Callithrix jacchus: one gene and its partner. The protein of the gene in region 1 purifies or fractionates together with the protein of each later gene. This does not show direct contact. Links are inferred from orthologs where the notes say so. Each region holds a gene or a part of one and is shown on either strand. Other genes may lie near its edges.

What was found.
Region 2: the proteins of PYHIN1 (region 1) and DCAF1 purify together in Homo sapiens (affinity purification with mass spectrometry; 3 studies listed by BioGRID and IntAct, counting the BioPlex papers as one, with this or other methods). This does not show direct contact. The link is inferred for Callithrix jacchus from reciprocal best matches to the Homo sapiens genes PYHIN1 and DCAF1.

Annotation. Positions count from the first base shown.
Region 1 is NC_133519.1:18,961,374-18,965,196, forward strand, and holds part of PYHIN1 (pyrin and HIN domain-containing protein 1), read left to right. Parts: intron 1-172; coding exon 173-601; intron 602-2,143; coding exon 2,144-2,353; intron 2,354-3,552; coding exon 3,553-3,711; intron 3,712-3,823. UniProt on the Homo sapiens protein: Major mediator of the tumor suppressor activity of IFN in breast cancer cells. Promotes ubiquitination and subsequent degradation of MDM2, which leads to p53/TP53 stabilization.
Region 2 is NC_133516.1:33,972,598-33,976,223, forward strand, and holds the end of DCAF1 (DDB1- and CUL4-associated factor 1), read right to left. Parts: intron 3,556-3,626; coding exon 3,501-3,555; coding exon of another isoform or gene 3,497-3,500; exon of another isoform or gene 2,584-3,496; intron 2,553-2,583; coding exon 2,440-2,552; exon of another isoform or gene 2,425-2,439; intron 1,853-2,424; coding exon 1,782-1,852; intron 965-1,781; coding exon of another isoform or gene 961-964; coding exon 907-960; 3' UTR 690-906; downstream 1-689. UniProt on the Homo sapiens protein: Acts both as a substrate recognition component of E3 ubiquitin-protein ligase complexes and as an atypical serine/threonine-protein kinase, playing key roles in various processes such as cell cycle, telomerase regulation and histone modification.

The DNA of each region.
Region 1 (3,823 bases):
TTTACCATGTGGCCTCCTATATTACTTCCTCTGGCTATTAGACTACTTTAGGATATCCTCTCCTTCCCTGTATCCTGCTCTACACATCTATAAAGTTTTGGGGCCCAAAGTTGTGACTTGAGTTCTGTTTCCTCACTCAAAAATTTGTTTTTTTGTATTTCTTATTTACCAGGCACAAAGCCTAAGACCTAAGGTCAGGCGTCAGGCAACTGCCAGAAAAAATATTTGCTCGAAAGACCCAATGAGAGTGATGGTACTAAATGCAACAAAGATATTTAAATATGAATCCTCAGAAAAAAATCGAAGAAGAATGTTTCATGCTACAGTGGTTACGCAGACAGAGTTCTTTCATGTGAAGGTTTTAAACATCAACTTGAAGAGGAAATTCACTAAAAAGAGAATCATCATTATATCAAATTATTTTAAATATAATAGTCTCCTAGAGGTGAATGAAGCCTCTTCTGTATCTGAAGCTGGTCCTGAGCAAACGTTTCAGGTTCCAAAGGATGTCATCAGAAGAGCAAGGAAAACTCCGAAGATCAATATTCTTCACAAACAAGCTTCAGGAGACATTGTGTATGGATTATTTACACTACATAAAGTAAGGCATCAAAGCTGTTTTGTTGCATTTTCTACAAAAACACTTGAAATTAAGAGCCCTGATGTACTAAATGGAACTTTGCATATTTACTTAACATTAGAACTCAGGGCTCTATCAAAATGACTGACAATTAGATAGTCTTCTTCAAGGTTAAGACCAAGATTAGGAAACCCATTAATGTTCTGCTTCCAATGTTTTTCTTTCCAAAATGTCACCCTGATGTTCTTTAGTAAAGCATTCACCGAGAAACCATGAGACTTCATCAGCTATGACTATTCTGAGCCATAACAATCAAGAATAGTGAGGGATCTAGCATAATACTAAATTTATTTCTTTGATTATAATCTCAGTTGTAGCAAAAATCATATTACTTTCATTTTGAATGAAGTATTGTCCTTTGAGGCTTGAGTTCCAGTTTTGACAGTCAGGGCAACAAATGAATTGACTGTTCATACCTGGAAATCAAATGCCGAAAATGGGTAGGACAATGTTCAGACCAAAGGAAACCCATTCATCAAAAAGTATTGAACAACTGAGAAATAGAATTCGGGTGATACTTGGAAAGTTAGGTAATCTGTACTTGAATATTAGACACGTCATGTCACCGAAAACAAAAAGAGCAGAATAATTTTTCTAATATGTTACTGTCAAAATTCATAAAACTAGTTAGCATGAGAGATTCCATCTCAGAAAACCATCTATACCTGGCTATTGATTCCAATAATTTCTTAGATGACCGACAGCTCACAACCCATTATATTTATTTTCTAGAACAATCTTTTATTTTACCAGCATTGCTTTCTGCACACACTCTTAAATTATTCTTAGAAATACATATCTAGGCTGGGCATGGTGGCTCACACCTGTAATCCAAGCACTTTGGAGGCCAAGGTGGGTGGATCACCTGAGGTCAGGAGTTCAAGACCAGCCTGACCAACATGGTGAAACCCTGTCTTTAAAAAAAAAAATTTTTAAGAGGAAAAAAAAAAGTAATACATATCTAGAATGACAGGTAATAGTCTTGATGAGCAAGAGATTGGAACATTTGAGCTTAAAGACCTGAGATCAGATGGGAGCAGACGTTGAAAGAGATTCAGTACATAGAGAAAGTCAAAAGAGTAATTAGATAGTTAATAGAAGCTTGCTTTTTATTGTAGATTCCTCATAACATGGTGAATGATGAGTTGTAACAGATGCTTATTCTTTCTGCATAGGGGTAGAGGCCAAATAACCCTACCAGAGTTCAGGTTCCTTAGTATCAAGGTGCTTTGGGAAGCATAGTTGTCCTGGAAATGAAAAAAGTTGAAATTGAGAAGATAACCCTTTGCTCTAGAACTGTCATAGAAATACTTAGAACATTACAGAAAAGAGTATCAAGGGAGAGCTCTGGGAGATGGTCTAAACTAAGGCACATGTACTGTATGTTCATACTGTACTAGGAGTTGATGTCTTGCATCTTGTTTTAATCTGTTACAAAAGACTTTCCATTATGTAAGGTGGTTACTATGTCCTCACCAACATGATATTAATTTTTTGTTGCAGAAAACTGTAAAGAGGAAGGTGACAATCTATGAAATTCTGGATAAAACAGGGAGTATGGATGTAGTTGGAAAAGGAGAATGTCACAATATCCCCTGTGAAAAAGGAGATAAGCTTCAACTCTTCTGCTTTCGACTGAGAATGCGGAAAGATGTGTTACAACTGATGTCAGAAACGCATAGTTTCATCCAGATGAGAAATAGAGACAGAAATGTTAGTTTTCCAAAGATAAAAATCATTCGCTTTAAGTTTTCGGAAATCATATTTCTGTTGTTTTACACTTAAAATTCTGCAGAGTACATGAGAAACCAAATGACGCCCTTGCACTTACATTTAAATAGAGAAAACAGGCCGGGCGCGGTGGCTCACGCCTGTAATCCCAGCACTTTGGGAGGCCGAGGCGGGTGGATCACGAGGTCAAGAGATCGAGACCATCCTGGTCAACATGGTGAAACCCCGTCTCTACTAAAGATACAAAAAATTAACTGGGCATGGTGGCGCGTGCCTGTAATCCCAGCTACTCAGGAGGCTGAGGCAGGAGAATTGCCTGAACCCAGGAGGCGGAGGTTGTGGTGAGCCGAGATCGCGCCATTGCACTCCAGCCTGCGTAACAAGAGCGAAACTCCGTCTCAAAAAATAAATAAATAAATAAATAAATAGAGAAAATTTTTAAAATCTATTGAGAGAATAACATTCATTATTGACTTCAAAAGAACATGAAACTTGTGCTAAATATTAAAATATTGGAAGAAATTAGGAAGGCACAGGCCTAATTTAATTAGTGATCAAAAGCAAGTTTTTTGCAGTGAGATAGGGTTGGTATATACCTTGCTCATTAGTTGTATGATATTGGAGAAATAGCTTAAATGTTCCTCCTGAGATTGATTTGAAAATTAAATGAGATCACGGATATATGGTTCATATCCCATTACCTTCCTTGCACATTATGACAAATCAGTGTGCACTAGATACTACTGCTGTTAACAAGGTAAAGACAGACATTGGAAAGATTTCAGGCAGAAAAAATGTGGCATACAAATATTAAAAGTGAGAAACAGCATAGTGAGTTCTGTACGACTTTGGAATATGTGGAAATGTGTCAGAAACTCACGCAAGACAGGTGACAAGCAGCCCTCTTCTCATCTGTCTTATGCCATAAAGAAAAAAATGAAGTTCGTTTTTTAAAAATAAGTAAATAAAGATTTTATTTTACTAAGAATGTTAGAACATTTTACATTTTAGCATAGAAATATGTTGGCAGTTGTCTAGAGGAGTACATCAGATAGAGGCAATGTTTAGAGGTAATGACATCTATTAGAATGGAATAAAGGATGATATTCTCAGATATTTAAAGATGGTGTACTTTCTCTGATATTAAAAAACACTAAACAAAAAAAAATGAATGCTTTCAGATATGTAAGAAAATAAAGCAGAGAAGCATTGACTCCCACAGCATGGCACTGAAGCTTCCAAAACCTTCAGAGGCTGGCACAACCTTCCCACGTGAATGCCATCCCAGCAAGACTCCTCACATGCTGCCAGCAACCCCATCAAGCAGTTCCTTTACCAAGGTACAATTTCCTGGGTCCCATGCCAAACATAAAGTGCCAGGATTATTAGGGATTAGAAGAGAAACTCCTTCAACAGTCTAACTGTGTACAATCTCTAGATGAAATTAAATCA
Region 2 (3,626 bases), on another chromosome or scaffold:
TAGACTAGGGGAGGTCCTTGGTAACTGACATGACAGTTCCATAGGTGCAAGGTCAGAGCATGTGCCTACACCTTATGCCCTACTACTGAGTTGGAGACCATTGGGAAACATTCTTCTTGCGGGGGAAGGTCACAAGTCACTGAGGTGTTGGGTAGTGCGAGCTCTTGAAGCCACTCAAGCCAGGTGGGGAGGAAAGGGACGAGGAGATACCCCCTAGCTGGGAGGGTGAGATTCTGCCTTCATTGTTTCAGTAAGGTAGTACAGACAGTGCAGGCTGGGGAGGAAAACCAGAGCACACAGTTGTCACCATAGAACACCCCAAATGCCATTCTTCAGAGTGTCAGTGTGGCAGCTTGGATGTTCCAACAGGGATCATTGTCAGGGCTGAGGCAAACGGAAGCTCTGGTAAGCGAATGAGCACCCAGATAACCAGGAACTCTGGGTTCTGCTGGCCGTGGCATCCTCTCCAGGTCTGGTCTCTTACCCAAGCTGGGATGAGGCAGCATAAGTGACAGCTGAGATTTGAGGCAGGTGCTTGTGCAGAGGCTGGGGCTCAGTGTAGGTTGTGGAGAGGCCACGCTAGTCCACAGGAACACTTGGCAGTGCTCTCGTAGACACCTGGGTGATGAATGGACAGGAAAGTGCCTCACGAGAGAAAAAGCACATTGATGACAAAACAGCAACACAAGGACATGTTAAACATGCTTATTTATTTGCCTGTTTTTGAGCTGTGGTCACAGCTGCAAGGTACAGCAGGACACGCCACCATTCCAGGATAGCTGGTACTGCCGAAACAGGAGTGGGTCTTGTCTTGTTGAAGGCACACTGCAGGGTTTTTCCTGCAGATCTTCAGCCTGAGTCACAGGCCAGAGCTGCCTTGGTATGTGAGTCCAGAACTTCTCTGGGCTACCTATCTTCCTTCATGGAGGAGGTGCTCAGGACCCGGAATCTATCTCCCAGCTTTCTGAGACAGAACCAAGTAAAGGAAACATGCTAGAAAACGTGCCTGGAGAAGACACTTCAACCTTTGCCTTGTCCACCCCTCTTCAGAGAAAGGTGCCCCATGGCCCCAAAAAGAACTGTCAAGTTTTGGTGAGGAGTAACACCCTAGCATGACCTTCCCTCTCTTTCCTGGTCAACCACTTCCTTCCTTTGGTTCTTAAGATCTAGCAGGTTCTGTGAACTCTCAGAAAGGCCTTGGCCAGTACTAGTAAGGGGAGCTCAGGTGGTCAATGCCCTGCCCTAATGAGAAAACTCTTACTTCAGGCATCCAGTGCCCTTTGGGTCCTGTCTAAGGTGTTGCTTAAAGACAAGAAGGCAAAATGTGCCTCACTGGTGGTGTGCCACTGTTCTTGTGCTGCCTCCTAGGTGACTTTCAGGCCTGGTAGAATGAGGAAGAGGGCTGATGCTTCCTTAGCCCCTTAGGGCATGTTCCTAAGGGTATGTTGTCAAGCCAACCCGAATTCTGCCACCCTACTATAGTCCCCATCTCCCTCTTAGAGAACTGTGGGTGCTCCCAGCAGAGTTGAGACTGGCTCCACTGAGTTAATGACTAGAATATAGTGCTTTCACTACTTCTTGGTTGTTAACCTGTTTTCTGATGCAGTCAGTACCAACAGTCAGACTATTCCACTGGTGTGTTAACTACCATTAAATCAAGGCATGAAGCAAAAGAGCCAAGTCCTCTGCTCTCCAGAGGATTAAGAAATACCTGTGTGACACAGACCCACTCAGTGTGTACAGCATATTCTACAGTGCTTCTGAGCCCAGTAGGGCTTTACCTGCCCCTGGAGAGTTTTAGCCATCTTGTGTTTCTTGTTTACTTCACAACCACATTTGTCCCCTCTTCTCTCTGTTAAGGGAGAAACATCACTTTAGCTGGATAATATCTACGTAACAGAAACTGAGCAGCTGTTATTTGGGCAAAATCAAAGGAAAAAAGAGACTATGGTCTTATATTTATTGTGGGAAGGAAAACAGGGTGGGGTGGGTAAGCGGTAAGGTTGAAGCCGCTGGTACTCTGCCTGGTGGTTACACAGTTTAACCACAGGCCAATTTTAGGGGCCTCTGAAGTATCTTTCTACAAACACAGACCAATTCCCACTACCCCTAACTTGCCAGGACTGCTCAAGTCTACTGTCACAGTCCCTTTCAGAAACCATTAGTGGCCGTCGCCCCAGCTACACAGACGGCCGAAATGCTTTCACTCTTTAGCTTTGCAGCTCCTTCCTCCAAAACTTCCCAGAACACCTCCCGTTCCAGCTCCACCAAATCTATACTTGGGAGCAGCCTGCTGGATCCAGAACATAAGGATAGAGAGCTGTGACAACAGTGGCCAAGGCCCTGAGCTCTCCTCTCTCCACATTACCCTTACAAAGACAGGTCCTCCCTGTGAGAGAGCTACAGGACAGGAGCAGACACTGTGACAAAGCTACTTTCCTCCCTGGAGTGGTCTCTGTAGGCAGAACATGCTCTCCCACCATCCTGATCTGCCTCTCCTGGAAGGTATCTTCCTTATGGCCTCACTAGATCTGCAAAAAAGGGACACACCCCTTGGGTAAAAGAAAATAGGGAAAGACCATAAACAAAGACAGACTTGTAGTTTATTTTGTATTTTTTTAAAATAAATACACTTTACATTAAAGAAAAAGGCCTTTGATTTATAATTTCCACATTGGGGAGAAAGGGAAGAAAAAAAGCTTTTTGAAAAACTGAATCACAAAGAAAAATAGAGGGAGTGAACTTGTATCTTAAGTTCCCTCAACTCCACAAAACCAATATCCACAATGACCATGCTGCCCCCAAACCATGAAGGTGGGTGAATTCAGGCATACTCAGCAGATAAAGAGCCTTCGTTCCCACCTCTGGCACGAAGGAAAACAAATTAACCAGACAGCATATGAGGCAACAAAACAGGTTAAAAAATCATATATTATATTTATAATAAAATATTCTTAATCCTTATCAATTTAAGAAACCACGATTTTCCTTTTTCATTTAAATACGTATGTAAAAATGCCTCTATATTGTTCTTTAGACATCATTTTCTTCCAAAGAAAATGAAGTGTAGGGACAAGAGACCTGGTGGATATAAGTTCATACCCTCAGTTATAAATGCCTGTGTTTTTTTTTTTTCCTTTTTAAAGTTTTATAAAAAACTATTTCTTGTTCTTTAAGTAAAGAACATTATACAAAGAAAATATATTGTGAAATACCCCAGAGACATGTTTTTTTCCCCTTGAAAGATGTGTCCATCCTAGGAAATGGGGGGGCGGGTACAGAGGAGGGCCTAGTCCCTGTTGTTATTTTTGTGATTGTTATTGTTTCTGGAAGGACTCTCAGGTGCCACTGAGACTTTCTAAGTCATAATCCTCTGAATGCAGGGCATGCAGTTCCTTAAAAGACAGCCCTGAGAGAAAGGGAAGGGAATATGTTCTGAATTCATTTGACTCAGTTTCTCGCCTGCCAAGAATCTCTTCCAAGTAGTGATGGCTCCTCACTCATTCAGAGATAAGATGATGTCATCTTCCAAATCAGAGTTGTCAGAGCTATCAGCTGAAAGGGAAGAAAAGGGAGAGACAAGATTACCCGCTAGGCTTATAGGAAGCTTTCAGGAAGCACGCACC